Linked DNA regions of Lonchura striata. The protein of the gene in region 4 purifies or fractionates together with the protein of the main gene of each other region. This does not show direct contact. Links are inferred from orthologs where the notes say so. Each region holds a gene or a part of one and is shown on either strand. Other genes may lie near its edges. The genes, in order: ITGB1, GIT2, ARHGEF7 and PXN.

Region 1 (7,908 bases), on a different chromosome or scaffold from region 4:
GAAAAGAATATTCTGTCTTTTTTGCCATTGTTTTCTACTAGAACAGCCAACCACCTCATACAATAGTCATTCCATTTGTCCAAATCTCTTTTCCCAGTGGTACCATTACTATTTATTTACTTCAGACTATTTTTGTGGTTTTTTCTTGCCTACTAGTCTTGCTTAAAATGTTCTGCTCTCCACATAGCTCCTCTTTCCCCTATATATCAATGAACATTAAATCTGTCCTTATTCCTTCTCTCATGACAGACTCTCAGTACTAGCAGACTGCTACCATCTCCAAATATTTCTGCAGCTGAGACCAAAATCCTCCTTTCTCATTTCTATCCTTCTACTCCTCTGTAAAAGTCTAAATTTCAGTAATTTTTATGCACTAACAACTACTGCATTGAGCTTAAAATGTTGCAGAATGTCCCTCTGGGCAAAATTGAAGCTGAAGAATTCTTCAAGGAAAGCTCTTGCAATCGTCCTTGCTCATTTCTTTGGGGGCAGTGGAATTCATTTTTCCCCTGAATGAGCATGAGCTGCTTGTCTAAACAGTGGGAATCCTCTGAGAAGGAGGGAACAGAATATGCAGGCACGTGATCTCAGAGTCTCACAGAATAAAAGCAGCACATGGCAAGAATTAATAACTGCTGAATCTCAGAAACTTACTGTGCATTCAGAATTACCATCCTTTGGGGATATTTTTAATCTCCCAAAGGCATTTTTCCTTGGGTAATTAAACACTAAAATATCTTCAAGCCTGAAGTTTTAAGATCTAGTTCTCTAGAAAACACTATTCATTTCAAGCAACAAAAGGAGCTGGTGCAGAAGTTCTCTGCCCTGTGTTATCATGAGTATGAGTGCTTGAACATAAATCTCAAAGACTTTAGTCTCTTCACTTAACTCCTGCTCACTTCTTTACTTTGGAACATAGGAGCAACTTGTAGTTCATGCCCAAGGAGGAAAAAGGATTCCTGCCTTGCTTATTGAGGATCAAAATATCTTATAGAATTTCTGCATAAAACAGACCCTCTTCACAATGACATAGGAGTCCCACAAAAGTGCCTTGGAAGATTTAAGTCCATGTGGCAAATGAGAAGGAATGTGTATGCTAATGGCAGCAGGGATTTTAACAGCAACAGCTCAGCCTACCCAAACATACACACAAGAGGGAAGAGCAGCTCTTCAGCTGAAGGAAGTGCAGAAAATGAGTCAGAGGAAGCATCAGAAGGCACAGTGCAGCTGTAACAAAAGCTGTCCCCCAGTCCCTCTGCTCCAGCAGCCTGCTCTGTGCCAGCAAGGGCAGAGTCCCACCAGAAGGGCCATGGTGACCTCCCCTTTCTTCTTTCCTGACAGCCACAAGTTGCTTTTTAAATGCTGGTGAGCTGAAGGAAGGGCTTGGTGGACTCTGACCTTTTCAGGCTCATGTTAAACACAGGACTGTCGATTGAACAAAGCAGAGATCTAAGCACTGATCATAAACCAGGTGTTAATATATCAGCTCTATTGCACCTAAGTGCTGCACATTGCTCCCATGAACAGCAGGCAGACAATCCTTCAAAGCAAACCTTTGCCCACAGGATACAATCTCTGGCAATCTCCTGGCTGAACATTTGTGACTCACTTCACTCCTTGTGTGGAGCAGGAGAACATGGCTCCAGTGTAAACACAGCATTCCATACCATGGGCACACTGTACAGGTCTGACAGGCTGCCTGCAGAGAAGTGCTGCTCATTCCTCATGAGGAGCCAAATAGTGGCTGTTATCTAAAGCAATGACACAACCGTTTAGCACCATCACTTCCTGTACTAAGTGACCCTTCTAATAATACTTTCTCTATGAATCTTGTGTCCAAGCCCTAACACCTCCTCATCCTCCACACTGGAAGCCAGAGCCCAGTGCTGACCAGTTGCCAGTGAGGTCTCAGTGCTCACTGTGCCCCTTGGTGACTGCACAGCTGCTTCTGGAATAAAACAGCGGCTGAAGCTGCTGCTGCTCTGCTCCAAGGTCAGGCCAGGAAAACTGGGTGCTCCCGCAGCCAGCTCAGCCCAGGTGGCTGCAGTCTGATGTGTTCCCAGGAGACCTGCTTTCTTTTGCTGGCTTCATTGCTATCCTTGGGAAAATGACTTTGACTTCCTCTTTTCTCTCCCACCCTTTATCTATCTAGTAGGGTAGAAGCATTTTGAAGAGGCAGGGAAGGAAAAGAAGAGGGGTGGAAAGGGAAAGTACTCTGCTGTCAGTAACAAAGTTTGTTGGGGAAGTGGAGCAGTACAGATAAATTATCGCTCCCTGGGGCAGAGGTGAGCGAGATACCTAGCACACTATAAAGAAGTAAAGATAGAAGTTTTAGTGGCTGGTGAGATTACAAAGTTGCCTAATGGGTGCCCTGATGAGAGGCATTTGCATTTGGGTATTAATGCGCAAACCATGCACATTAAAACACATCCTGTGTTTCTTATCACTGAGGCCCCAGTTGAAAAATATCTCCCTCTAAACCCTTTGCAAGGTGCAGGAGTGAAGAAGATGCTGGAGAACAGGCTGACAGCTCCCTGGCTGTGTGGGCTTTAGTAAGTCAGAGTTCAGCAGCTTGGCAGCAACATGTGGCAAACGGGAAACTGCAGCCAAGGAAATACCCTGATAACTGGTTAGGAGATGCTGCAATTTCTCCTACCAACCAGTTCCTGCTTCTCTGGAGGCAGTGGCTCCTGAGGTACCCAAGTGGCCCCCTCACTCCAGAGGTTCCCAGCCAGGCACTGGGAGGGATTGCAATAGAGCTGCCTGGCACAGGGATATTCAGCTCCAGCCCTGGAGCTGCAGCTGGGCACCCCCAATTTACACAGCTGGCTTCTTTACAAAAGCAGCACTGGACACATCAAAACCTGGTTTGGGATTTGTGTTTGTGTAAAAGTTATAAAATCTGTATCTGCAAGATAAGAATTAACCAAACACTTCCCAGCTTCCCACTCAGTCCATGAAAACCCATCTTTTCTTGAGCCCTCCTGTGCAAAACTGCTCACTCTCCCAGATGTCATGTACACTGCAGTACAGAAACACTACATTAAACATTTTGACATCACCTATAATTGTGTCTACTGGCTCAGATACCTCCAGCTCTTTTTTTTTTTCTTTTTTCTGGCATCTTTAGTACTTCACAAGTGTTGGAAAATAACTCATGATTTTCATACCCATCTGTGCTCTCCAAAGGAGACCAGAAAGCAGCCAAATAATTCAGTGGATTTTTTTTCAGCCATTTTGTGAGACTTTTTCCTGTTGATTTCCTATTGCACAGCACAGCCAGCCACTGGCTACTTGACACAATAAGATCTGAGCAGAGCATTGGGTAGCATTTGAACCAGTCTGTTGAGCAGTTTTATTTAGTCTTCAGAGCCAAATTGATCTCAGTAGCACATCTTTCCACCACTTCTTTGAAGTACAGTATAGTGGACAGCTGCTCACTATTTGCATATTTTGGCAAAATCACAGAATATTCTGAGTTAGAAGAAACCCACAAGGATCATCGAGTCCATCTTTTAAGTGAATGGCCCATACAAGGATCAAAATCCACAACCTTGTCATAATTAGCACCAGATGTGCTTTTTCTCTCTGCAATAAAGAAGCAGAGAAGAATACCTTGCATAAAACTAATTTTTATCGCCCAGTACTCAAGTTTCCCACATTTTTTTGCAGACCACTATCCCTCCGGCATTTGCTTTTACTTTGCATTAATTTTTACAATTTTTAAAACTTTGGCTTTCTGATGGCTTTCATTTTTCCTGGCACTATTAATATTACATATTAATTTACCTGTTGAAACATATAGTTCCTGCTGTCCTTATCTCTGAGTGTCAAAGTTGTTTAACTACCATTTCATTTATCCAGTGCTTGCTTTTGATGGGGCTGCTTGGAGCAGTAGTCTGTCATTTCAGTCTCATTTTCCAACACCACTAGAACTGTTTTGCAATTACAGCTGTACCAGCACTAAAAGCTTCTGCTAAAACAGCTGTTAGGAGACTGCGCCCTAAACCACTGCACTGCCCAAGTGGAACACGGGGTTGAATCACAGGCCACACTTGAGTAAACTAGAAACATCATTCCTTTCTTATTCCAAAATGCAGCTAGAAAGCAAGCAGGGGAAAAGTGATTAAAATTATAAACAAGTCGCAGCACTGCTGGTTAAGTTAACCATACAAAACCAAGAACTGACTCAAGCTCCAGTAGCCACACATAAAGACAGTGCTTAGAGCTCTGAGCTGTGAGTTGATAGCTTGTTTCCCAACACTTTACCTTCAATAAGGTGTCGAAAGGCACGCTTTTTCATTTTCTTTTTTTTAATCGGTAATTTCCCAAGTACTTATTTTAAGGGGCACTTTAAAATACCAAGAGCATGCTCCTAACACCAGCAGGCTCCGGCCGAGGTATTCGGGGAAAGCGACTTTTTAGCTCGGAGCGAGTGTAGCACCGGACAAACGCACTCATCACTCAGTGACTTCCACTGCTCTTGGCAGCAGCTGCCAGCAAGAGGGGCAGGGATCCCCTCGGCTGTGACCGCGCGTGGAACCAGGCAGGGAGCGGAGCAGGGGAAGAGCTCTGGAAAAGGGCTGGGGTCGAACAGCCTTTCCGCACCGCCGGGAGCGAGCGGGCCGCGGGGCAGCCCCGGCCCGTCCCCGCCCACCGGCCCAGCCCGGGGCCGGCCGAGCCGCCGGCAAACCCCGCCAAATAAGGCGCTGGCGGGCGGCACGGATGGAAGCGGGAGGGAAGCGGGCACCGAGCCCCGCCTCAGGCACGGCTCTCCCGTCCCTGCCGCCGCGCCGCAGACGCCTCCCCGGCCCGCTTGACGGCAGCGGGGAGGAATGTGTTTCCGGGGCGGGCAGCGCGGAGCGCGGACCTCCCCTCCCCTCCCCCGCGGGCCGGGCTCCCGCAGCAGCTCCGAGCAGGCGGCGGCGGGCAGCCAGCGAGGAGCGAGCCCGGGCGTCCCGCCGCGCCCAGCCCTGCCCAGCCCAGCCCCGGACGCCGCCGCAGCGAGCCGGGCGGGCCGGAGCGCGCCCGCTGCCCGGAGCCATGGCCGAGGTAACGGGAGGACGGGCGGGGGTCGCAGCCGGCCGGGAGCGAGATGAGCGGTGCCTGCGGCCGCCCCGGGGCTCGGCGCTTCGGGCGGGCTCCGGGCGGCTGCGGGCGCCGCTTCCCGCGCCGGGAGCCGCCGCCGCCCCGTGTGCGGTGCCTCGGCGCCGGCCCGGGCGGAGGAGGGGGCGCCGCCTCCCGCCGTGCCCGCCCGGCGCTGTGGGCGGGAAGGTGCCGGGCCCAGCCTGCGGCTTCCTGTGGCGGCGGGACGGCGGCCGCGGGCCTCCCGTGCCGCCGGGGCCGGCCGGGCCTTTGTCCGCCCGGGGCCGGCCCTGCCCCGGCGGCGGGGCGGCAGCGCTCTACCCCGGGCGGCGCCGGAGCCCCGTGCCTGTGCCGTGCCCCGTGCCGGCCGCCGCCTCCCGCCGGCGGTGCCCGGGACGGGGGCAGCGCTCGGCTGGGAAAGTTTCGGGCGGCTTCCCGGGAGTCGGGCGAGGGCGGGCGTCCGCAGGGGGAAGGTGCCTCCCGCGGGAAGCGGGCGCCGGAGTTACGGGAATGGGAACGAAAGGAGTGAGGCAGTGCGGGAACTCGAGTACCCGGGGGATTGTCCCGCACATACCTGCAGAAAGCGAGCGCTGAGAGCGGCGTGTGCGCGGTTTGAATGACGGGATGGTCGCAGTGCAGCCTTTGGCTGCTCGAGCCGTCCAGCTGGCTCTGAGCCTCTGTAGCCTGCTATAAACTCGTGTCGGGATGGAGTGGGAATGTGAGGCCTCTATGCCATGTCCCACATGGGGATTTCTGAAAAATCTTACAGCAGTAGTGCAATGCTTTGTCTCCTATTATTGCCTTCAGTTACTGGTTGTTGGAAGGAAACGTGGAGCAATGAGAAATTCATTCTGACTCACAGGCCCATGTCAGATGTGTTTATGTTATGGAATAAGTATCTGTCTGCCTGTTAAACTCATTAGGTAGCTTTTTGTGACTGTTTATGAAAAGAAGTTGATGAGCGTTCATGTTTGCGTCTTCATTTGTCCTTGATAGAATACAACAGTCCATTCATGCCAGCACATGTGCACATAGCTGTTGGGTGAAAATGTTGATTTTTCTGGTAGATTTGCCATCACTGCTACAGTTCTATTCTTGCCAAGATACACAAACCTTTAGGAGTAACGATTGTCTCCATTTAGATTAGTAGAACCACTCACAGTCAATGCTCCTTGTGTGCTGAGGTGTTGATATTAAGCAGGACGTTATGTATGTGGAAACAGATTTAAATAACTTGTACTCCTGGCACACAGATCATTTGGTAGGTGATGGTGGCAGTGTGAGAAAAGTTTTGAGAAATGAGGCAGCTTGGTAGCAGTGAGGGGATTTTGTTGTTCTTGGTTGTTTGTATGGGCCTTTTTAAAGTAGTATTATACTACTAAAAAGATGTAAATTAGACTAAATTAAACAAGACTAAGAGTAGCAAAGACATTCATTGTCCACATCCGTCCCAGCGATGAAACCAATGATTCATTCTCTGTCACAAAAAAATATTACTTGCCTCTGGGTAATGATTAAGTAGCATTTTGCAAGCTCACCTAAGGCTCTATTTATAAGGATTGCAAAAACAGTGAGCCATTGGCAATAGATTGGCAAGACAAGACAAGTTTAAGATGTGAACACCTTCAACTTTTGTCCTTTTCAGAGATGTTTCAGCTGAAAGGTTAAAAGCTGACAGGCATGCATAATCTTACCTTAACCAAAGTTGGAGCTGCGAAGTGCTGTATCTGTTTGCCAGCCACATGATAAATGAACCATATTTATTTAAAAATGAAATGTCAGCAGTTACAACTCCGCTGTTCTCTGTGGGTGCAGCCAGGGAGCTCATTCTGTTCTCTCTGTTCAGTTGTCTGATCTGTACCATGTCCCCAGTAATGCCCACCCTTGTAAAGGACTGATTTGGAGGGATGCTTGTTGCTCTAAGAATGTGCATGAATTTTTGATGGGAGTGCAGAATTTTAGTGTTTTGTCTTGAGTATTTTAAATGACTCAAGCGGTTAGCCTTACACCGCTTCCTTTGGGAAGTGATTCCCAAAGCTGAAAAAAAACTGTCTGAGAACTTTTCCTGCTGTTCTTTCTTCCTGATTCATGATTTCATTCCTCTCTCTAAACCATCCTCTCTCTACCTCTCATTGGGTAGTTCTGCTGTAGTTCAGATATGAAAAAAGCTTGTTTGCTGTAGCAGCAGCTCAGGAAGTAGATAACTGGGGTAGCAGAAAGGCGAACTTGGGGAGAGCCGTGCACACATGGGGTGGGCACATGCTGTGGTCTCCCTTGCCCTGAATATAATTCCCTTGCTGCTGCTGGTATGAGTGCCCGTCAGTTGTTTGTAAATAGTTGTCATGCCTGCCTTTCCACCCAGTCTCGATTTAGCTGAGTGATGTGATGCACACTTAGCCAGCTTCTCATCAGTCTGCTGCAGGCTTCGTGCTTGGCTGTGGCTCTTGGTACTGAGACAGGGTACTGCAGCTGTGATTGCTCAGCAGGCTGTTAAGTACTTTGTCTTGATGGGACCCTTTTGGTAAGTAAAGGCTCTAGTTCTGCATGAGGCTCCCTTTCCTTCTAGTGGACAGCCTTGCAGAGTCCCTGTTGCTCCTCTCTTGCACATGGTCCGAGGCCTGAGTGTCTTTAGTGTGGACCTGCTCATGATGCAGGTGCAGCCTTTGCTTGTGTCCCTGTCACTGCTGCACAGGAGGTGGATGTGTGACTGTGCTACTTTCTCTGGTAGTTCTCCTCACGTGGTGTGGAGAGTGGATATGTGGAGGAAGGCTGGATGGAGCTTGCTGGCCACTGGTATACCTGATCTTTCTCTTCCTCCTCATT
Region 2 (7,143 bases), about 6.1 Mb from region 4:
AGACCTAATGTTCATTCCTTTCAGGGAAAAGCAGGTACTTCCTCAAACAACCAGTGAATCCATAGATGACACACGATCAGTTGTGGATGGCCAGGGACAGGTAAAAAAAAACCCAAGAAAAGTCTCCAGGCAACAGCAACAACAGCTAAATTCTCCACTACCAAAACCCAACCAACCAGACACACAGGAAACAAAGAATAATTGTGCAACAAAAGCACAAGAGGTCATTTTGAGATGGAGAAGAGGAAGATTGCAGGGAGCGGATATCTCCCTGCCTGCACTGTGGGACATTTCTAACTCATTTTTACAGCTTGAAATTGGTAACAAGGAGCAGGATCCTTACCCCAGCTAGTGAACTCCCATTTCATTTCCACATAAAAGTCAGGAGTCTGCAGAAGGAAAACACCTGATGAGTACTTCATGAAATAGTTTGACAGTCAGTGCAGCATTTCCTGTGAACATTTTAGATAAAGGAAAAAAAAAAAAAGAGAGCAAAACTGGAGAAATGATTAGCCAATGCTAAAACTGAAATTGAAAGTTGCAAACACAACAGGCACTGCCCTGCCCCTGCTGCTTTCTGGGGAGCTGTTCTTCCTTGTTTTACTGGAGAGGCAGCAGTGCCTTCAAAATTCAGCCTCCAATGCTGGAGTACATGACAAAGGATTTAAATAAAGTCAAGGAAAAGCCTCCATGTCCTTCAGGACTACGGAATATGCAGGTTGGAACAAAACACAATTACCCAGCTGATTGCAATAGTTAACTGAACTACTTGAATGAGTATTCAAGCAGAGATTTCAGTCTAGAATGAGAGTTTACACTTCAATAAATCCTTACCTCGTTAATCTTCTGCAGTAACTCGGGAACTCCTCCGAGGGTCATGGAGGTCTGCTGGTAGTCCCGATGCTGCAGGATCAGCTGGACCATCTCTGGATCCCCTGTGCTGACAGCCTCATGCAAAACTGAAAGAAAGCCAGCCACAGCCTCGTGTCACTTTGCTTGCTGACCAAAATTCCATATAAAAACACAGAACAGCTGCTACTGAAAGACTGACACCCCAGGTTGTTCCTTACCCGTCCATCCCTGCGCGTTCTCCTTGGTCACATCTGCCTTGTGCTGCAGGAGGACCTTGGCAGATTCGATGTAACCCAAGGAAACAGCCAAGTGCAGCAAGGTCCTGCCCCGTGGATCCCGCTGGTCAACATCCTGTCAGTGTCCAAGAGAGAGTAACAGAGCTCATCAGAGCCTGCACAAACACAGGGCTCATCCAGGAGTCAGCATTCCCTGCCATTCCCATGGATCCACTCCCAAACTCTCCTGCACCGCCCTTCTGCGGGGCTGCCTTGCTTCCCCACGTGAATAAAAGGAGAAGCAGAACGGGGCCTATGAAATGACACAAAATCTGTAGGACAGGAGTTCTTGTTGATGCTTTTCATTGCTTTTTCTGTCATTATTTCCCCTCTGGCTCCCCCCAGAAGGCTCAGGAGGAGTTCTGTCCGTGTGCATCACCCCACGGACAGCCAAGAGCCTGAGACCCCACAGAGAGTTTAAACTGTACAACAAAATGGGGGGGAAAGGGGAAAAAAAAGGCAACAGGACATACAACACGGCTTTTGGACAGCACTTTTGGAAAGGACAGAAGCAGATGGTGTTTCACAAAGCACACACACAGCACAATGAGGAGTGAGGGCATTCTCTGCAAGTCACTAAAGTAAAAAATAAACTACACAGGCACAAATATCCAAAACATGCAAGCACAACATACTCATACCTTACACATTTTTCACTATTAGCTTAGAGATTTGAAACAGAAGAGCATCTATAACTAAAGGAAAAGGGGAAAGTCAATAGCAGAATGAGAAAGGAAGGTTATTATGCACGTTAACAGCGTTATCTGACAGCTTCAAGTCAGAATATCTCACAGAGAGTGGGAAAGCTTCACTTTAAAGCATCTTCACTTCTGGGGTGGAACATTAATTAATTTGTTTCTCCACCTCCTGCAGCTCTAAAGAGCTCCAAGGGTCCCTCCCCACTGTTTGTTGCTGTTCCCTGGTCCCCACATGCCCCACCCCATTTGCCACTCCAGCCACAGCTGGGAAGTGCCTTTGATTCCTTCACAGGTCCCTCCAGCAGCAGGAAGCTCATCCCAAAGCAGCAGGGGGAACCAGATCTTTGGAATACTTAAAAAAAAAAAAAAAAAAAAGAAAAAAAAGGTGTTTAAAAGCAGGTAAAGGAAGAGACACAGTCCATCTTCACACGCTGCTGGCTTCCACAGGGAATGGAGGGAGGAAGCAGCATTCCACAGGTGGGAGCTGCTGAGTGATCCCTATTTAACCATAAACTCTCACAGATGTCAGAAGTAAACACACAGGAGCAACGTGCCAGTGAGGTTAAAGATTTTGTTAAGGCATAAGGTGATATAAATGAGGTAAAAAGTGACTGCATTCCAAAGATTCTCCCAAACCAGGGCAGGAACATGCTCTAAGCAGGAATTAGTAAGTCAGGTGCACCGTTAGAGCTGCAGGTGACAGGAGGTGGCACAGCCGGTCTTGGGCTCACGTACTTGTGGTGTCAGGTATAATTAATTAATCAGCTCTGCTCATTAACTGTACCTCGCTCTAGCCCGTCAGAGCTTTTGCACAGCAGCTCAGCCAGGAGGATTTTTGCTGCTCAAGCTCTGCTGCAGCTTTCAGGCTGTTTCCTTACGTCATCATGTCCCAGAGAGGGGACAGCTTTGTGTTTGCTGCTCTCCAGCACTAAACAATGATCCATTTCTATTTTTTTTTTTTTTTACCAGAGATGCTGAAAACATTCCAACCCATATAAAAACTCTGTCCTCATTCTTGGGCAGCGACAAACCTGTAAGAACTGATGGTGCTCAGCAAAGTGAGGGCTTGGTTTGATGTCCAGTAGCACCAGCTACCTTTGCTGCACGTTGACTTCCCATTAAGACAAACACTATTTATTGCTTTAATAAATAAATTAATATCCATCACAGCTGCCCTCCTTGAGCTCTCCCCTAAAGAGCAACGCTCAGAGCAAAGCTTTACAGATGGGAAGCCAACGTTTAGTATCTGACATAAAAATATATTCCCACACCTTCTCGCATCACTCCCACACCACAAATAAACAGGTAACCGAGTGCAGGGATCCCTCAAGCAGCGCCACCAGGGTGATCCTCCCTGGCACAGCAGCGAGCCAGGGCCAGCAGCCCCCCAGCAGCCCCCGAGCCCCGGTACCTGGTCCCGCAGCTCCTCGTCCAGCCGCCGGTAGTCGTTATTCCACACCAGGACGTGCAGGGGGAAGGCGCTGCCGGCCCCGCCGGGGGAGCTCATCCCAGCACACACCTGCGAGCCGGGGGGGACCCTCACTCTCTCCTCTCTGGATGCTCCCACGTCACTCAAGCCCTGAGCCCTTCAGCTTCTGGTCTCTGCGGGCACCCACCTGGCCCAGGTGTGCGTGTGCGGGCCACGACCCCCCAGGAACCGTTCAGCCCTCTCCGAAGGGAGCCCCATGCAAAACCCCAGCGCGGGGGTCTCCCCTGCTGCTGCTGGTGCCCCTGGCAGCCCCCGGGTCTCCTCCCGGAGTCCGCTCGGCGCCGCTCCCGGGCTCGCCCCGCTCCCCCTCAGCCGTCCCGGCCCCTCTTCCCCGTCCCTCCGGGGACGGCTGGCACCGACCACAGCGCGCCCGGAGCAGGGGGGTTTCCTCGCGGTGCCCCGCACTCCTACCGCCACCGACAACCGCACGGAAAGCGGAAGCCGCTCCCCCTCCCCCTCTGAGGGCGGACGGATGGAACGTCCCGCCCGCAGCTGTCCCATTGCCTTCCCCGCATGGGGTGCGCTCACCGCTCTCACCCCGCCTTCGCCCGGCCTTGGTTTGGCTCGCCCGCCCGCCATGGCGGGTAAGGGCAGGGCTTGCTGCACAGCGGCCTCTCCCAGCAGGCTTCCGAAGCCACATCTCTCCCATAACCCCGCCGAGAGGGCGCAGCGGGCAGGCGGGCCCGGGCGGGAGCGCTCGGTGCCGCGCCGCTGAGCCGGAGCTCAGTTTGAAGGCAGGCCCCCGTGCCAGGAGTAAAGATGGCGGCACGGGCGACACGCGGAGCGGCAGAGGGGGTCTCGTCGCGCATGCGCGGGGCCGGCCCGGGGCTGGCGGGGCCCGTTACCGGCCCCGCTGCCGCCGCTGCCGCCGGTCCCGCGATGGCGAAGCGCCTGAGGAGCAGCGAGGTCTGCGCCGACTGCAGCGCTCAGGGTAGGCACCGCACCGCCAGCGGCACCGCGCGGGCTCGTCCCGCGGACCCCTCTGGAACCGGGGGCCGCGGGGGCGCCGCCGGCCCGGGGGCGTCCCCGCCCCGGAGCGCTGCACCTGTGATGGAGCGGGATGGTTTGGGTGGGAAGGCAGCTCAAAGCCCGTGGGCAGCGCGGCTTCCAGGAGCCCGGGCTGCTCCGACAGCGTCCAGCCTGGCCTGGGACACTTGCAGGGCTGGGATGGAACTCCGTGTCCGGGTGTCCGGCACCGCCGCCCCTCCCGAGCCCGGGGCACGCGGAGCTCCGGGAGCATCCCGGAGGGCTCCGGCGGCGGGAAGTGCGGAGCTCCCCAGCCTAGGAAGGAGGGAAGCTGACAGGAATCCACCTTCAGTCACGGGCAGGGCGTGGGTTGGGAATGTGTCACTGGAAAGGAGCAGGGCTGTTTTTGGGGGGCTGCGTTTTCACCCCTGTCCCTGTTCCCAGGGGCATTGGGGAGGTAAACTGGGATTTGTCCCACGGCCCACACTTCCAAGGAAAGTTGTGCTGAGGTGTCTGGAGATGCTCAGGGAGCAGGGTCTGCCTTGGGCTGGCGCGTATGCCGCTGCAGATCAGTTTGGGAGCATATGGAAGTGGAGGTGGTGTTCAGAAAAGCTGTTGCATCTCCTGACCGTCTGTAGTTCTGCAGCTCTTGTATCTAAAACTGTCCTGCTTTATTTTGTCAGCTCTGTCTGTGTCTTTTCTGGCTCTTTAGTTTTTGCTGTTTGTGTTCTGGGCAGGTTATGCACATAGTGAAATGAATTAAAACACTGATGTAATAATACCTTATTATTGTATGTGTAATATCAATGTCTGTGTAATGTAGATAACACTTGAATTGGCAGAAGATAGGATGTGGGAAAAGGGAGAACAACTTTTATTCAATCTGAGTTATGTTTTAAAAAATGATAAAAATTCCAAATGAACTTCCAGGAAGTGACATTCTTCTTTTTACAGAAGGAAGTCTTCCCTGTGAGGGTAGTGAGGCCCTGGCACAGGTTGCCCAGAGAAGTTGCTCCATCCCTGGAAGTGGCCAAGGCCAGGTTGGATGGGGTTGGGATAATGGAAGGTGTCCCTGCCCATGGTAGGGATTGGCACTGGGTGAGCTTTAAGCTCCCTCCAACCCAAACCAGTCTGGGATTCTGCTTGTACCCCTGTAGAAATTTGGTTTTACAATAAATGCAGCTGGCATCTCTCAGGCAGGTGATTGTCCCTATCTCACAAGGTAGCCTATCTATGCTTGCTCACATCAGGGGTGTTGTGAGTTGGAGATAAAGCTGTGTGAACTGTGTTCCTTAAGCTCCTTGGGGCATCAGAATCACTGTCTGGTAATCCTGTAATCCAGCCTTTATCGTGACATTAGAGCACTTCCAGCTCTTTACTTACTTACTAGAAACCCGCTGGCTTGTCCACATATATGAAGAAATCTTTACTTATTTATTAGAATCCAGTGGCTTATCTACATACATAAAGGAATCTTCATTTAATCTTTTGGTAAATAAAACAAATCAACCCTTTCCTTTAGCAAAACCAGAGGGTTTGTCCATGGCTGCGTGGGGCTGTGTCAGGAGACCTGGTGGCTGCAGCCTTTGCACCAGGGCGGGTGTGCCTGGCACCTGCATTAATTACTGCTTCCCCTGGAACCTCATCAATGCCCCTTTGTCTCTGCCAGGGCAGAGCGTGGAGGGTTTTCTTTGACTCTTACAGGAGCTCTTGTGCTGCACTTCCTATCCCGAGGCAGGAGCTCAGTTCTCAGACCCTGGGCCGGGTTTGTCTTCATCTCAAACTTCCTGTTTTGAACCACCCTGCAGGTTCCTGAAAGCGCCTGCCCGGCCCTGCAGCTTCTCCCCAATTGTCCTTTGTATCAAAACCAGCGTGGGCAGCAGGGCCAGGCTGTGACCACCCCTGAGCTGGACACTGAGGACCCTCAATTGCTTTGTCCAGCTCCGGGCCCCTCGCTCCAGGACAGATATGGAGGAGCTGGAGCATGTCCAGGAAAGGGAATGGAGATGGAGAAGGGGCAGCTAAAGGGGCTCAGCCTGGAGCAAAGGAGGCTCAGGAGGGACCTTGTGGCTCTGCACAACTCCTGACAGGATGGGACAGCCTGGGTGAGGGGCAGGCTCTGCTCCCAGGGAACAGGGACAGGAGAGAAGAAAGTGCATCAAACTGTGCCAGGGGAGGGTCAGGTTGGGCACCAGGAGGAATTTCCTCATGGAAGGGGTGGTCAGGGACTGGAAGGAGCTGCCCAGGGAGGTTTGGAGTCCCCATCCCTGGAGGTGTCCAAGGAAGAGCTGGACATGGCACTCAGTGCTCTGGGCTGGTGACAAGGGGATGATCAGTCACAGGTTGGACTCAGGGGTCTCTTTCAACCTCAGTGATTGTGGGATCCTGTGTATTTTGGTACTTGCTTGAACATATTCTGATCGAGTCCATAATTAGGTCTCTCTTAAAAATTACTCAAATTCCAGGACAGATACTTCATTGCATTAAATTTAAACCTGAAATATCCAAGGGTGTTTGGTGTTGAGGTGGAGATAAAGAAAACCCCCAGTGCTGACTGTTGATAATGCAGAGCAATGCTCACAAACAGCCTGGGAATGGGCAAGGGAAAGGATCCCTAAGAATCCCATCCATGTGTGATGAGGTTGTCTCTAACAAGAAGGAATCAGGCTCATTAATCTGGAAGGCTGCCTCAGTTTGGGTGATTAGGTTGCCATGAATGCATCTCACTCTATTGCTGTTCTTTTTCTTCATGGAAATCAAAATTGTTAAATAATGGAATGATTTAACAAGGAGTTCTAAGTGCTTGTTGTAATTTGTTCTTTAACAAATGGATTATTTTTTTGTCTCACCTGCTTTAATTTGG
Region 3 (7,628 bases), on a different chromosome or scaffold from region 4:
ATCTCTGCCAAAAGCAGAGACACTTACTGGTTTCTGAAAGTATAAAGAATGTAGCAGATCAATGCCATTATCCTGAGCTACACTTAGAAGACAAAGGCAGCTCTTGAATTGATGCTCTCGGGAGTGCAGAAGCAGAGCTACATTTTGGGCTACTGCAGACTTGCCAGAGGACTCTCTGTATATTTCTACCTAAAGATCATAGCCAGGGTAAAAGCTACAAAAGCATGAGTGACTGTGATAAAGCTTGTAACACAGGATTGCCTCATCAAAGAAATGCTAACAAAAAAATTTGACTGCTAGGATTAAGATAGCCAAAGACTTGGCAGCAGACTGGACTCTGAGCTCAATCAGAGCATAGTGTCAATAGGCTGCATTGGTTTAAAGTAAAGACATGGTGACAGCATTTCTGCTTTTGGGTAGGCCCTAAGGGCAGTTGCACAGGAGGCAGTAGAGCAAGTGCACTAGATCCTTGAGAGATTTGAGATCTGTGATCAGGGGAAATAAATGAGGGACTTGATCTCTGGGGCATCTCTCGCCCAGCTAAAAGCTCTCATGGTGCTAAGCATCCCTGTTTTCCCTCAAATTCTGTAACAGGTGCCTGCAGCCTCCATGTAAGAAAGTTGTTTAAAAGCACCTTTTTTCTTTGGCTTTGTTTATTTGTTTGTTTGTTTGTTTTTGTTGTTTTTGGGGATGGCATGGACGCTGGTGAATCCATCGCACTGCATTCTGTGATCCCTGTTTGAGAGGCCCAAGCCTGCCTGGGCACTCATGGTGCTGCCCTGGAGCCAAGTACTGCAGTCCCGAGCATCATGCTGCTGTCACCCTTGGTCAAACACCTGCTCTCAGAGTCCTGGATTTGTGTTTCTGCATCAGCACTTTAGCTGCTCTCTGTATGGTACTCATTTATTTATGCTTGATTGACAGACCTCTCAGGACAGAAAAGCTTTTAATCTGTCTATTAAAATACTTCACAACTTGGAAGATAATGAAATAATTTGCCCTCTGTTGTGTTTTGGTATTTTTTTTATTTATTTATTGAGACTTTTACCAGCACCACACAGCTCATTGATCTGCCTTCCCAAATTCACCAACACAATCTTTGGTGTATGGGTTTTAACTGACACCTTCAGCTGACAGGTAGTCAATCAACAGCAGAGAGAGCTGGTGGTATTGAACTTGTGATAGCTGGTTTCAGGAACTGCAAAAGACTAGCTCCTCTACGAGCCTCAAGATTATTTTCAAATGTAGGTTTAAATAGCATGGAAATATATCTCTGAGTTTAACACAGAAGTGTGCTTTGTTGGGGTAAGGCTTTCACTGCAGAGAGATGTAAACCTCCCTAGGCTAAAACTACAGAGATAATTACGTATAGCATGGGAACCCCAGCACAGCAATTGATCCAGTATGACCCCTATATAGCTAATTACAGATTGTCAAGGCAATTTCTGTTCAAGCCGGACCGATAATTAATTAGTTACCTCCACATTGAAATCCTGACCTTGGCTTGGCACAGGGAAAACAGAGACTTGTGTCGAAGCATCTCACTGCTGCCCAGGGACAGGGAGACAAGGTATTAACAGCTGAAAATGGAAAATGGCAAATGGAAGGCTAAAATGAAAGAGTAGCTTTCTTTACCTGTTTTTTCCTTCCTCTCCTGTTCTTCATCCTCCCAAACCAATTGCTCAGGCTAAAAGAATAAATAAAAGCCACATAAGTATAATTGTCTTTTGGAGACTTTCAGTTAAGTCATACTGCAGAACAGAGAAAGTATCTCTGCTGATAACTTTTTGGTCAAATTGCAAACTGGCAATTTATTCCTGCTGTTTTGTCTTTCAACCAGTCACTAATCCGTGACAGAAATTTACTTTCTACCACATGCTTACCTGGTTTCCTTAGTAACTTCTCATGAGAATATGGCAAAAGCTGGGAAAAGACCAAATAAATTGTCAACCACTTAATCTTTATGTATACAAAATTATGTGCTGTTACATCTACTAGATCTCTGCTAAAGCTGCCTGATGCATTTCAGAGAACAATGATTTTTTTCTTGTTCAAAAGAGGTCCAGACAGTATTAAACTGAGACACCTCCCCCTTCCCCTCCTCCCCCACCAAATTCCCCAAATATCAGAATCTTTTTGCTTGTGTAAACAGATTTAAGGTCTGGAAGTTACCTGAACCTACAAGCTTCATATATATATATATCCCTTGTTTATAAAAGTCAGTACCAAAATTACTTTTTCAGCTTTGCATAAATTTAAAATATTTTGCAGGAAAAAAAGTAGTTTAAATCATCCCTCATCCCCTAAAAGAAAGTTGTTAAAATCTATCCCATCTTTCAGAAAGAATTTATACTATTTAAATACTATCAAAATGGATGTTTGAATAAAGATGTCATGAGTTTATGATTTAGAAGCAACAGTGGGATCAGAATCAGGTCATAAGAGAATCAGAACATCTTTAATTGTGAAACAAAGAGGAAGAAGGAGTGCAGACTTACAATAAGTGTATGTATCATTGTTTGTGTTACTTCAAAACTCCCACCATGGCATGGGCTCCACTCGCTAGACAGCACATGCAAAATATCTGTGTGTCCTACAAGGTTTTAGTACAAATGGACAGTACTGGGACATGCAGGAGGAAAGAATAAAACAAGGGAGCTGTGCAGAGAGTTCAGGTGCTTTGCAGTAAATACCTGGTAGGGGAAAGTCTGACAAGAAAGGAATATAGGCAGGGAGTGGCATGCTCCTAAATCTTTTGGGCACTTTAATTTTTTTCCTTTAAAGATCTTGAAATGGTTTCCTGACCTGTGTCAAGCTTCTTTTAGAAGTCTCCAAGCAATCTATCCACATGGCTTTCCAATGGCAAAGAACTGCCATGTTTGTGTTCTTCATAGCTGACAAATCATTGGATCAGAAGCTGTTGTTCAAAATAGATATGGAAGACAGTACAGTTAAGTGCAGAAGAATGATGAGGAGATAGGTGATGAATGTCAGTGATAACCCAGATATTGCTTATCATGAAACCCTTTATGCTTTGCTAAGATCACTATTCTGTGTTGTAATATATGGTTATTTCCATTGTCTTTGGATGGGTTTTCCCACAACATGTCTTGTATCATGTTCTCTGCTATAATCAGCCATGCACTTTTCACCTCGTTCATGTACCCATCACATCTCTCATATAAAAAGTTTCATAAACTCATGCCCATAGTTTTCTATCATGGGCCAGTGCCAGGGAGGTCCCCACTTGCTGCTCATCTTGCTCGGGAAGCTACTGGGGTACCCCTGCTGGGGATGCTGATGTAATGAGCACCTGACCATTGCTGTGTGCATTGTACTTGTTTATCCCATCCTGCTTGAATCCGGGTGGGCATTAATACTGACAGAGGCAAGTCTGCTGCTCTCACCTCGACCAAAAAGCAAGGGGCAAAACAAAAAACAAATTTTGGAAGAGGTATCTACCTGAAATGTGAAATTTAAGAATTTAAGAAAATCTGCACCTATTATGGGTTAGGAGGAGATTGAGTGTTGAAATTAGATTATCTTGTACCAAATTGAAATGCACCTCTGTCTTTCTGGGCTGGCTGGTGATTTGGTAGGAGATTCTGGGTCAAAAGAACCTACCAGAGCTGCTGCTCAGGGACTGTGATGGTGGTGGATGCAGTACGCCAGGCTGGAAGCAGAACAGCAGCGATGAGTTTGGGTTGGCATTGTTGCCTCTGCCTTTGCCTTTTGGAGTAGGCATTTTGCCCCTCAAGGGCGTCAGATGGGGCGAGAAGGGAAAGCAGGGGCTGTGGTGGTATCGCCTCTCCTGGCGTGTGCGAGGCTGATGGCAACAGAGGGACCCTGGGAGCCCACAGCAGCCAGCTCCTAACAAAAAAGAAAATACTGATTGCTCATAGTGTCCCGTCCAAGCAAATCCTTGAGGAACGGCTTTTGTCAGAATAAAAGGCACAGGAGGGCTCTGTTTCAGGTTAGTCTTCACAGTCCTTCTGTGTAGAGTATTTACGCTGGCTTCCCAGGCGGTGCCGCAGACCATCGGGGGGGAAGCTGGCGGGAGGCGCTCGGGGATGGAGCATCCCAGCAGGCGCACGGCGGGGATGGCGCGCACCGGGGCGAGCCCGCGACCCGGCCGCTGGCCCGAGGCTGCAAACGGGTTTCCTTGCAAGGGAACGACGGGCAAAGGCAGAGATCGCGTTACTGCGGCCGGTCGGGCCGGCGCCCGCTGCCGGCGCTCCCAGAGGGAGATGGTCCGAAACCAGTCTCCCGGAGCCTGGCGCCGAAGGCTTGAGGGGGTTCGTTCTCTGCGCGACGGCGCCGTCCGAGGAGGAGATGAGGGGCCGGGGGATCCCGCAACTTTTCCCCGCGGCCGGCGGTGCCCGGCGGCTCCCGCTCCCGCCTCGCTGCGCGCCCGCGGAGGCGCCGCCCGCCCGCTAGGGGGCGCGCGCCGGCCGCCGCTCGGCGCGCGCAGCGGGCGCGGAGCGGTGCGCGGGGCTCCGCGGGCGCGCGGCCCCGCCGCCGCCGCTGCCAGTGATGTCATGGGGCGGCGGCGGCGGCGGCGGCGGCGGCGGGGGGGCGGGGAGGAGGCGGCACTGCAGCTGCATGTGTCTGTAGCGGCGGGGCCGGGGCGTCGTCATCTGCATTCACATGGGGGCGGCGCCGCCGGCCTCCGCCTGAAGCCCCCGCCGGGGGACACACAAAACCCACGCGAGGCGCGGGGCGCCGCGACCCCCGCCCGCCGCCGCCATCGCCATGAATTCGGCGGAGCAGACCGTTACGTGGCTGATCGCCCTGGGCGTGCTGGAGTCGCCCAAAAAGACCATCTCCGACCCCGAGGGCTTCCTTCAGTCCTCCCTGAAGGATGGCGTGGTGCTGTGCCGCCTGCTCGACCGCCTGCTCCCGGGCACCATAGACAAAGTAAGTGCCCGGCGGCCCCCGCCCCGCCGCCCTTTGTGCGGCCGGGCCCGCCGCCCCCGGCCCCGCCCGCGCCGCCCCCCGCTCCGGAGGGGGACCCCGGGCCCGGGGAGGGCGGTGGGGGGCGCGGGGGGCGGAGCGGGGCCGGTCCCCGGCGGGGGAGAGCGGGGAGCGGCAGCCGGGCTGGAGGGGAACCCCCGTGAGGAGCCACTGTTCTGCAAGTGTTGTACGGACGCTCCGCTTCCCAAAGCGGAGTCCCGGCTGTGCATGGGAGATGCATTAATTTTGGAGGGTGGACTATGGACCCTGCCCTGCGTGCCACGAGCCGGCTGCAAACTTATCTACGCAACTGCTGGAGCAGCCGGTGCCTCACCTCGCTTGGGAGGTGATTCAGCTCATCCCTTCCAGCCTCTGAAGGACATTTTAGCGTTTGATGCTTAGTTTTCTTGAAGGCTGCTTAAGCGTTATTTGGGTCCTTTACTGTTCGGTAGCCTGTGGAAAAAAAATCTCCTTTTTTTTTTTTTTTTTTTTTTTTTTTTTTTTGTGCTGAAAAAACGCGTTACAGCTCTAGTTTGTGTTTTGTTTGAAGAAAATGTACTCTGTCAGGTAACTTCTATGTGTTCTGTGTGCGTACATAATTCCCGTCGTCGCTCAGCCAGAGGGAAAAGACAACCAAAGGGGTTTGGTTGTGCCTCAAAACTTGGGACAGTACTGTTGTCTCACCTGATGTTTAGTAACATAGTGCACACAGAGATCCACATATTGACAAAAATCTTTCCTCGTGTGCCAGTCTAAGGTAGTGAAGATTGATGAAGGTCATCTGCTATGATGATGGGATGACTCCTTGCTTGAAAATAACACCGTATTTTTCACCTTTTGCAGAACAGTTGGCAGAGCATTCCACTCGCTGGAGCCTGCTGACAGTGAGCTTTTGTTACCTTTTGTGGCTCTATTTCGAGTAGTTCTCAGACCCACAAAGTTGTAACCAGCGCCTTGAGCTTAGCAGGACACTGGGCTGGGCTGTCCCACTTCGGTTCTTCAGTTTGCCACCCACTGGAGTTGTTATTGTTTTGTGTTGTACATGAAGGTCTTGGCTCTGGACTGGAGTCCCATTCTGCGGATTTAGTAGATCATTCCTGCCTCCCAGATTCACAGGTACATCAGGAGGTGGTACGGGGATGTGGACTCCTCACAGGAGCCCGCAGTGCTCTTGGCGGGTGATGGAAGTGATGAGAGCGGGCACAGTGTGTTGGTGGCTGTGTGAGCGTGGCTAACTCAAGGATCACCATGGTGGCCAGTGGGGACTAGCTGGGACAGCTGAAGCCCCTGCCACTGCTGCTGTCAGCTTTCCCCGCCACCATTTCCCCGTAAGTGGCTGTTCAGGCAGTAGAGCTGAAGAGGATGCCCCTGCTCCTAAAGGGGCTGCAGCTTTGTGGAGGTGGTACATGAGGTGCAAACTGTTGTCCAGTGCACTGGGCTGCAAAGTAGGGCTCCAGAGCAGGTAAATGTCCTGCTCTGCCATTCAGTAAATGTCCTGTTCTGCAATCCAGGGTGGCACGCGTGACATGGGGCTTGGGGTAAGTGGGGGCTCCTCCACCTGACTATCCACTGATTCTGACAGGCTCCGCCCATGCCTCCTTGTCCCCAGACTCTTTTGCCTGGTGGCACCAAGCCCAAGGAGGGTTTTGGGAGCCTTTCCCACACTGCTGCTCCAGGCACGCTTCCTGAGCACATCTTGGACTTTGGGTTCTTAGCTTTAGGGCAGAAAAGGTCTTTCCCCTTTGTGCAGATGTCAAGCCTGGTAAAGTGGGGTCCTGCACTCAATCTGGGAAAGAGGCTCTACCAATAAACAAAAAAGCAGAACAGAAATAAGTGTTACAAGAGTGTTTCCCAACTTAATGTGTTTCTCTGTTACAGTATAGTTTGGGACAGCTCGGTTATTGAATGAGAGACTCTCTTTTTATCTGAGGACCAAACACCTCTCATGTTTGGGTGGGGGTCCCTTCACAGCACAGAGGAAGGTTTACAGAGGCGCGCAGCTCCGCACAGCCAACAACGAGAGCAGCCTGGGTGCGAGGAGCTGCCGGCGGGACTCGCGGTGGCCCTGGCGCTGCAGCAGCGCGGGGCTCGCAGCGGGAGCAGTGCGGGCTGGGCTGGCAGCCAGGCGGGAGGAAGGCTGGCGCCTCGCAGCCTCCCACCTCCCCGAGCTCGCCCCGCGCCGAGCAGGGCGCTGGGACAGGCGGCCGCCCCGGCGTCCCTGCTGCCCCTGTGTGTTTCCTCTGGCTCTGACTTAGTTATAAGTCTGGGGAGAAATAGACATTTTAAAAAATTATTTTAGGAGGATCTTTGGTTTTGTAAGGGTAACTGTTCTTATTTCCCTGGACCATTCACAAAGCACTTTCTAATTCATAGATATGTCTGAGAGACTCACAAACTCATTTTTCCACCTAACTTTGTAAATATTCTTTTTCTGTAGACTCAGAATTTACACCCCATACCTCTTTCACGTTCTCATCTATGTTATGTCTGAGCTGTTTCCGTGTTACTTTATTCTCTTTCTTTGTTTGTTAGTAAACAGACATAAATTTTACATCCTTTATTGTGCCATGGTAGTTTTTCCAAGTCTTTTTGGCTACTACTCTTTGTTACTTTTTTAATACTAAGTGCATTTGAAATATGAGCCTTTTTATTCCTTATTTGCCCCGAAAATCTCC
Region 4 (7,265 bases):
TTTTCCCAATACCCCGCCATGACGACTTGAAATATAGTCGGCATTGGCAATTTTTGACAGTCTCTACGGAGACTGAATACTCTGGTGAAAAATAGACTAAGACTAGCTCCGGTGATTGTATTGTGCTGCGTGGTCTTTACCTGGCGGCGGGAGGGGGCTCTCACGGAAGGTAATACGGCTTCTCTTCTTTCAGCGCTGCCAGGGCTTGCTGCCGCTAAGACCGCGGTTTAATAAAATGAGGGCGCTCCTACGTTGAAAGCTCCTTTCTTTTTTTCTCAGTTACTGAAAAAGGAATCGGTCAGTGAAAACGGAAGTGGAGTGGCTTAGGTGTTGTAGAAAGATTTCTGGAGTAGCTCTTGCTGAGGAGAATCCTTAGGAGATTAGCCTCTCAACAGGCAGAGAGGAATCTAGGGGGAGTGAAAGTCTGAATCGTGCTTCCCCAACTGCAGGAGTCCTCTAAAACCCATTAGAGAACACTTAGTGTACTAAGTACTGTAAACTCCATTTTGTGTGCAGTTCTTTATTGACATCACTTGCTTTAAGAAAAAAAAATGCAATAGAAAAATGCTCCTTATTGTCAAAAAAATCACAAACCTTTGCTCTGGAAAAAGCAGCTGCTGGTGTCAACTCCTATTATATAAGTAAACTGCATCCTTTCCTAATTTGCAGCAATTGAATAGCTAGGCAGACCCTACGGAGGGAGACTAATGACCACTGCACACTGGCCCCGCTGAGGCTCCGCTGCAGCTGGGAGCAGCTGCTCTCCGTCACTCTGTGTGAGTGAGATGTACCTCCTGGTGCTGACAGCTTGCCTCTGACATTCTCTGTATGGGCACAGAACCAGATCCACGTGTGCCATCCCGATGCTCCTACCCTGCCGGTTAGACCTTGAGCTGGGCAGCTGCTTGAAACTTCGGTAGAACAGAAAGCTTAGTAGTGAACATCAGTCTCTTAAGAATTACTATTATTTTTTAAAATAACATTCAGTCATGCTGGGGTATTATACACAACAGTGACCAAGAGTGACAGTGAAACCTCACAGATTGCCTTTGTCCCCCCCATTTGTTCCTATTGCCAGAAATATCAATTGAAATCAAACTCTGAAGCACAGGGATGCCATTACCCTTTGGCAGAATAAGCCACACTGGTAAATAGCAAAGGCATATGTAGTTTGCAGTGAGTCATACACTTCAGGTAATTTCTTGATTCTTATGAACTGTATTGATAAGTATTGGATTTATCACTTGATTGTTTCTCATCTTTGCTGCCAGAATTGTCTGTGGTAATGCCTTGGTGTGGTGCTTTCAATCTGCATTGCAAAGTCACGTCCTACATCTTATGCCAGAAACCAAGCTTGTTCATTTTGCTGTAGCAGATCCTTTCAACAAACATGAAGTTGAACCTCGAATGTGGGAGTTGCATGCTGTGATTTACTGCTATTGCCTGAAGCCCAAAGCTCTGATTGAAAATTTTTTCCTTGCATTCACCTGAAGAAAGAGCAAAATCCCCTTGCATGATGTTCATGTGGCACAGCACAGAGGGCACACACTGCAATGAAGGCACTGTCATTGCTCTGCAGTTTCAAGCCACTCTCTGGAAAGTGCACAGGTAAGTTCTAAACATGCCTCACAGGCCAGTGTAGCTTTATTTCTCTTCTCTGACACAGATTGAAAATAACAATGCTTTTCTTCGCTGGTATTATGAAATGAGCTTGGATCACTCCTGTTTGGCAGCCAGTCTGAAATGACAGGGCCCAGGAGGACAGTTAATCCATCAACTCTGAGGGTCTTGTGTGTGGTCAGTGGGTTAAGCTGCCCTTTGAGGGACTTGGTCTGTAACTGGTAAATGACTCTTCAACAAGAGGGAAAGATGCCTTGAGCAAGTACTCTGGACACAGATTGTGTGGAGTTAGGAATACTCTGAACATGGATTGTGTGGAGACAGGAAGCCCTAAAGTTCAACATTTTGTTGATGTTAACTCACTGTCTAACTTCATTTCCAGTTCCCAGCCCTGTTTCCCATCTGCAAATGGGGGTGGTAACTTCTTGTTACACCTTATGTGAAAGACAAGGGTAGATCAAAATGTCTCAGCTACGGGGCACAGCATAAGAAGAAGGCCTGTGTATTTCTAGTAGCAAGCAGGTGTCCGTGAGTCAGGGAGAGTCTGAGCCAAAGAACAGGTAGATGATGGGGAAACAGGAGTTCAAGGCTTTGGGAAGGACAGAGCTTGAGCCCACAACACTGACAAGTCGCCTTGGCAGCTGGGGTTTTAACCTGCCCCTGCTCCCCCAGCTCTCATGGGAGGGTTAGGGACTGGCAATTTTAAGTAAGAAATATCAATGTGTGAATAATTCAGTTATAAACAGCACCTGGCTGTGAGCAGCTTGCTTTTAAAAGCAGGCTGTCTAGAGGATAGTATCACTCATGGGACAGCCCTGCCTTCCCACCCCACCAACACTTTCAGTGCAGTGCAGAAGCCATAGGCAAAGCTTTAGAAACAATTACTTTTTTTTTTTTTTTTTTTTTTTTTTTAACACTGACCATCTTAGACACAACCATTTCTTGTGGGAGCAACCCTAACTGGTTCTGTGACAACTTAATTCCAGCCCTGAGACACAATAGAAACTGCTTTCTTGATTTACATTCACTTTCAGACTCCCAAAGGACACAGTAGGAAGCTGAAAATAAAAATGGCATACCAGGCTACAATATGAACAGAGCACAGTAGGCACTTTATTTATGCAGAGGTAAAAATACAACCCAACTTGTGGCACATGCTTGTCACATGTTGGTGGAGGAAACATACAGACCCCAGGAAAGGACTCGTTTCTAATGACTTTACATCTGCTCTGTGACCAGTCAGCGCTAGTGGTTCATGTTGCTCCACCTGGGGATGCACATCCTGATGTTGTCATTGTATAGCCAGTGATGGATTTTGAGAAAATTTTAACAGTCCCTCCAAATAATGTTTTACATTTTGCTGAGGGAGACCAGCAAGGGGGATGTCAGGTGAAATCTTTGGCATGGATAGTGAAGCATGCAATGAAATCTTTACTTACATTTGTGTTGTACTTAGATCTCAGTAAGGACATTATTTTCTGACAACTGTATTTGGAGTAAAAGCTGGAATTAATTTCTTGGAGGTTTTTGACTATTCATAAGCATTGGCTGGGATGAGGGAGGAGATATTTCCCTGCCCCCCTAACGATAATTCCCATTAAAGCATGACTTAACACAGGAAATAATGATGTCTGACTTGTGCTAGCAGGGGAAACTGGGCATGTTTGTACCTAGAGAGTGAAAAATGCAGCACTGGAGATTGCTCACAGCTGACCTCACGGTCTCTGTTTAATGGAAATACAATTCTGTAATCTCAGCTCAACAACAGGACATGTGCTGTTCAGTTCTGGGAACATTCTCTGACTCGGTAGTAATTTTGTAAGGAAAAGAGCTACAAGAGTCATGTTTCCTGGATCCTCGGCAGTTCCCACACTGATATTTTTTGGTGTATCTCTCATCAGATTAAGAAGTGGACATTTGGGCTGAGCAACTGCATTTACTGCCATGTCAACTTGGCTGGAGCACTGTGGGAAACAGTAGCTCTGGTGAGGGTTGAGCTGTGCTGTGGCTCAGACAAAGCGAGGACTTTGCTGCCTTGGAGTTGTTTTATAGAGGCTTGAAAGGAAAAACACGTGGGAAATGATGGTTCAAGGTCACCACATGAGAAATCCAGGAGGGCTCTTATAGTCTTTGAACACAGCAAAAGAGAAGTAGCTGGTGACTTTCCTTTATGGTGGCCACAGCGTATGGAAAATTGCTCAGGAAAGGTTTCTGCTGCCCAGCTTCCCTGGGATGGGGTAATTCAGCTGAGGCTCTGAAATGTTTGAAGGTTTTGGGGCACAACTCTCCCGCACCACCCAGCCAGCCCAGCGCGGCTGCATCGCTGCCCCGGGACATTCCTCTGGGGAAGGTCCTGCTCCTGCAGGGAGCAGCGCGGGGCTCGTGTGGCGTTCGCGCTCAGTCTCGGACGCGCGTGGGGCCGCCGGCGAGCGGGGCAGGCCTCTCCGGGGCAGGCCTCTCCGGGGCACACGCCGGGCGGCGGCTCCGGGCGCTGCCGCCCCGCCCGGCGCTTCGCGGGGCCCCGACCCCGCGCCCGCTCCGCGCCCGGGCCGGCGGCTCCCGCGGCGGCCGGCAGGGGGCGGCGCGCAGCGCGCGCAGCGGGGGCGCGCGGGCGGGCGCGCGCGGGGGCGGGCCGGGAAAGTTGCGGGCTCTGAGGCGGCGGCGGCACCGCGGGGCGGGAGCGGCTCCGGCGCGGCGGCAGCGGCGGCACCGGGCACGACGGCACCATGGACGACTTGGGTGAGTTCCGAGCCGCGCGGGCTCCCCCGCGGCGGGGGCCGCCTCCCCGCCGCGCCCCGGGCGGCGGCGGCCGCGGCCCGCCGGCCACGCTGCGCCCCTCGGCGCCGCGGGGCTCGGGCCGCGCCTGTCGGCGTCCGGGGACGTGTCGCTCCCCGCGCAGCGCGCCGGCCGGCCCGGCTCCCCGCGCCCGGGCCCCGCGGCTGGGCTGTCCCGGGGCCGCCGCAGCCAGGGCAGGCGGTGGCTGTCCCGGCCGGGAAGGGCGCCCGGCGCTCCTGTGCCCGGAGCAGCGTGGGGCGTACTCGGGTTTCAGCAAACATCTCCTCCCTGCCCCGCCGCAGCCTCTCCAGCCTGTTCTTGGGCGAGATCTGAACTTTGCGCGGGTATGGAGTGGGGAGCCCTGCGGGGATAAGCGGAGCCCAGCCGCGCTTGGAGCTCATCCTCGTCCTCCCTCTGCTTCTCCCAGGTGTGCTGCATTATACGGTTTCCCGAAACCATGTAATGGAGAAATGTCAGGCAACTGGTCTCAAGGGAAGGATCTAGAGAATTTGAGTCCTTTGGGACCAAGCCGGAAAGGGTGTGGATCTGCCAAAATCCCTTGTGCTCTGGGAGGCATTAGGACGACTGAGTTCCGCTTATGAAACCGATTAAATCAGACACTGGGGAGGGGCTGTGATCCGTTACTTCCATCCTACCTTTAATAGAAACCAGACGTTCTGTTGACATATAGTCCCAAGAAAATTGCAGGTTTATTTCTGGACCTGGAAGCTCATACTACGGTGATGGCATAAAGCTGGTGGTCACACCTTCAGAAAATAGACTTTGAATTGGGCTAATGATAAAACTTAGAGGGTAAGGAGTCCATCTGCTGCGTGGCTTTCTGGTGAAAGGTGTGCCCATGGAGGATTCATCCTTGGGGAGTGAGACCTTCTGCTTGAGTGAAGTAGCTCTTGGTGGGAACAGAAGTAATTTCTACTGCAGCTTCTTTTCATGGTTATTGTTCAAGTGGAGACAGCTCTGTTTACCTTTTCTCATATCCCTCATTCTGGTTATCTCTTGGAGATTTGGTGCGAGTTCCTAGCATGTTCAGGAATGCATTGCTAGTCAGAACAGGATTCACCCAGTCTGTGTATTGACTTGATGGGTAGCCCTTCAAGGTGAGCATACAGGTCAGTGTAGAGCCAGTTTAGTGTCTCACCATCAGTAAACCATGGGAGCCTCACTGTGCCCACTGCAAGAGCTGCATTCCTAAACGTGGTAGTGTGACTTTCCAGCTGTTGGAATAGGCTGCTGCAGTCCCTTAACATTTTTTCTTTCATCTGTAGGAGAATTAGAGGTGAACTGCTAAGAAATTGTGAAAAAGATCTGAAATTGTGCCTGGTTTGTTTTTCTGAGCTCTGAAGAGTATTTGGACAACCAAAAGTTAGACCTTCTAATCTGAGCAACTTGATTTCATCAAGTCTTAATTACACTGCGTCTGTCTCAATTTTTGTGCAGCCTTTCAGACTGGACAAGATCTAATTAACAGTAGGCAGCTGAACAAAAAAGTGTGACCTTTTCTCTCTCTAAGCTTTTCTGTGGTGTACAGAATTCACCATGGAAAAGCACACCAGCTGTTTTTCCTCTGCAAATCATTGTTAGCCCCAAAATGGCTCACTTACTGCTCTAAAGTCATTCACCTTGGGATCACACATAATGGAACTGTGCTGTGCTGATACAACTCCCCTGAAATAAGTCAGACTTTCGAACTCAAGTGAGAGTTGTTTGTTTTTCTTTCCTCATTATCTATGGGTGGATTATCTGAGTTGTGGATTAACTGTGCCATGGATACAGACGTCTGCACTGGCCCTGTCCAGAGTCAAGCTGGTTAGGCAGGACTTGTTGGTTCAGGCACACTGCCATGTGGGCAAAGCTGCTCTGCTTCCAGGGACAGTTTTGGCCCAAAAGGAGTTTGATATTGAACTGGGACTTGTAGGTGCAGAGTTGATGTCAAGTTAAATCAGCTCAGATACTTCCATACCTCGCTTCTGAATCTGTGTGGCACAGAAATGAGCAGTGAGTGAAGGGCCTTGCTGGGCATGAGTGAACCCCTAACAGAGACCATTGGTGTGTCTGTTCTTAACTCCTTGCTGTTGTCAAAAATCTCCTTCTTTTTCCTAGAGCTGGAGGATTTGATCAGTCTGTACATGTCCAATGTAAAATGGAGGTCCAGAAGTATCTCAGTTTTGTTCTTGGACTGGAGAGTTTATGAAACATATGAAAATGGATTTGTCTTGCTTTGAGGATTCATTTGGAGTTGAGAAAAATCTTTGTTCCCTTTTTACCCCCTCCCCCAGTGTTGAAGAAGCTCCCACAGGAAACTTTCTGCAGGCTGGAGCTGTGCACCCTGTTGTTCTGGAGGAGCCTCTGTGGCACAGGACACACAGTGCTGGGCTGGATGTAAACTAGAACAGCCCGTGGTGGGAAGGGGGAGGAGAGCAGCTGGCCAGGCTTGTCCAGATCGTCTCCCTGCAGCCTCTCTGAGGAAGCACATTTTGCGGATGTGCTTGGAGTTTGACAGGAAGTTTGCTGAATGAATTTGCTGTCCTGCAGTGCTGTAAATTGGCACAGCTTTGTCCTAAAGAGTGAGAACCCAGATTTGGGGCTCTTGTCCCTTTCAGGGGATTGCCAAAGCACAGCCTGTGCTTCCAGCACACAAGTGATCATCCACACATACTTGCTTCAGACAAGCTGAGGCACTGAGATGTTGGGTTACTGGTTTGGTGGTGCTACCTTGTCTAAGTAGTATGAAGGAACAGATCCATTAGGATTTGCTTGTTGCAGAGGAAGAAACCTAATTTGTGTAAACTGTTATGTATTTATGGTGACAGGAGTAGGAGAAGAGAAACTTTAAATTTGCTTTAGTCAGA

Evidence for each region.
Region 1: the proteins of PXN (region 4) and ITGB1 purify together in Homo sapiens (affinity purification with western blotting; 3 studies listed by BioGRID and IntAct, with this or other methods). This does not show direct contact. The link is inferred for Lonchura striata from reciprocal best matches to the Homo sapiens genes PXN and ITGB1.
Region 2: the proteins of PXN (region 4) and GIT2 purify together in Homo sapiens (co-immunoprecipitation; 3 studies listed by BioGRID and IntAct, with this or other methods). This does not show direct contact. The link is inferred for Lonchura striata from reciprocal best matches to the Homo sapiens genes PXN and GIT2.
Region 3: the proteins of PXN (region 4) and ARHGEF7 purify together in Homo sapiens (affinity purification with mass spectrometry; 3 studies listed by BioGRID and IntAct, with this or other methods). This does not show direct contact. The link is inferred for Lonchura striata from reciprocal best matches to the Homo sapiens genes PXN and ARHGEF7.

What each region holds. Positions count from the first base shown.
Region 1 is NC_134603.1:142,822,770-142,830,677, reverse strand, and holds the start of ITGB1 (integrin beta-1), read left to right. Parts: upstream 1-4,893; 5' UTR 4,894-5,043; coding exon 5,044-5,052; intron 5,053-7,908.
Region 2 is NC_134620.1:11,019,785-11,026,927, forward strand, and holds the start of GIT2 (ARF GTPase-activating protein GIT2), read left to right. Parts: upstream 1-4,134; 5' UTR 4,135-4,193; coding exon 4,194-4,245; intron 4,246-7,143. Other genes in the region: ANKRD13A (ankyrin repeat domain-containing protein 13A), read right to left, coding at 344-389, 835-959, 1,071-1,203, 3,237-3,332. UniProt on the Homo sapiens protein: GTPase-activating protein for ADP ribosylation factor family members, including ARF1.
Region 3 is NC_134604.1:92,628,964-92,636,591, reverse strand, and holds the start of ARHGEF7 (rho guanine nucleotide exchange factor 7), read left to right. Parts: upstream 1-4,618; 5' UTR 4,619-4,752; coding exon 4,753-4,917; intron 4,918-7,628. UniProt on the Homo sapiens protein: Acts as a RAC1 guanine nucleotide exchange factor (GEF) and can induce membrane ruffling. Functions in cell migration, attachment and cell spreading. Promotes targeting of RAC1 to focal adhesions. May function as a positive regulator of apoptosis.
Region 4 is NC_134620.1:4,910,897-4,918,161, forward strand, and holds the start of PXN (paxillin), read left to right. Parts: upstream 1-4,248; 5' UTR 4,249-4,346; coding exon 4,347-4,359; intron 4,360-7,265. UniProt on the Homo sapiens protein: Cytoskeletal protein involved in actin-membrane attachment at sites of cell adhesion to the extracellular matrix (focal adhesion). Recruits other proteins such as TRIM15 to focal adhesion.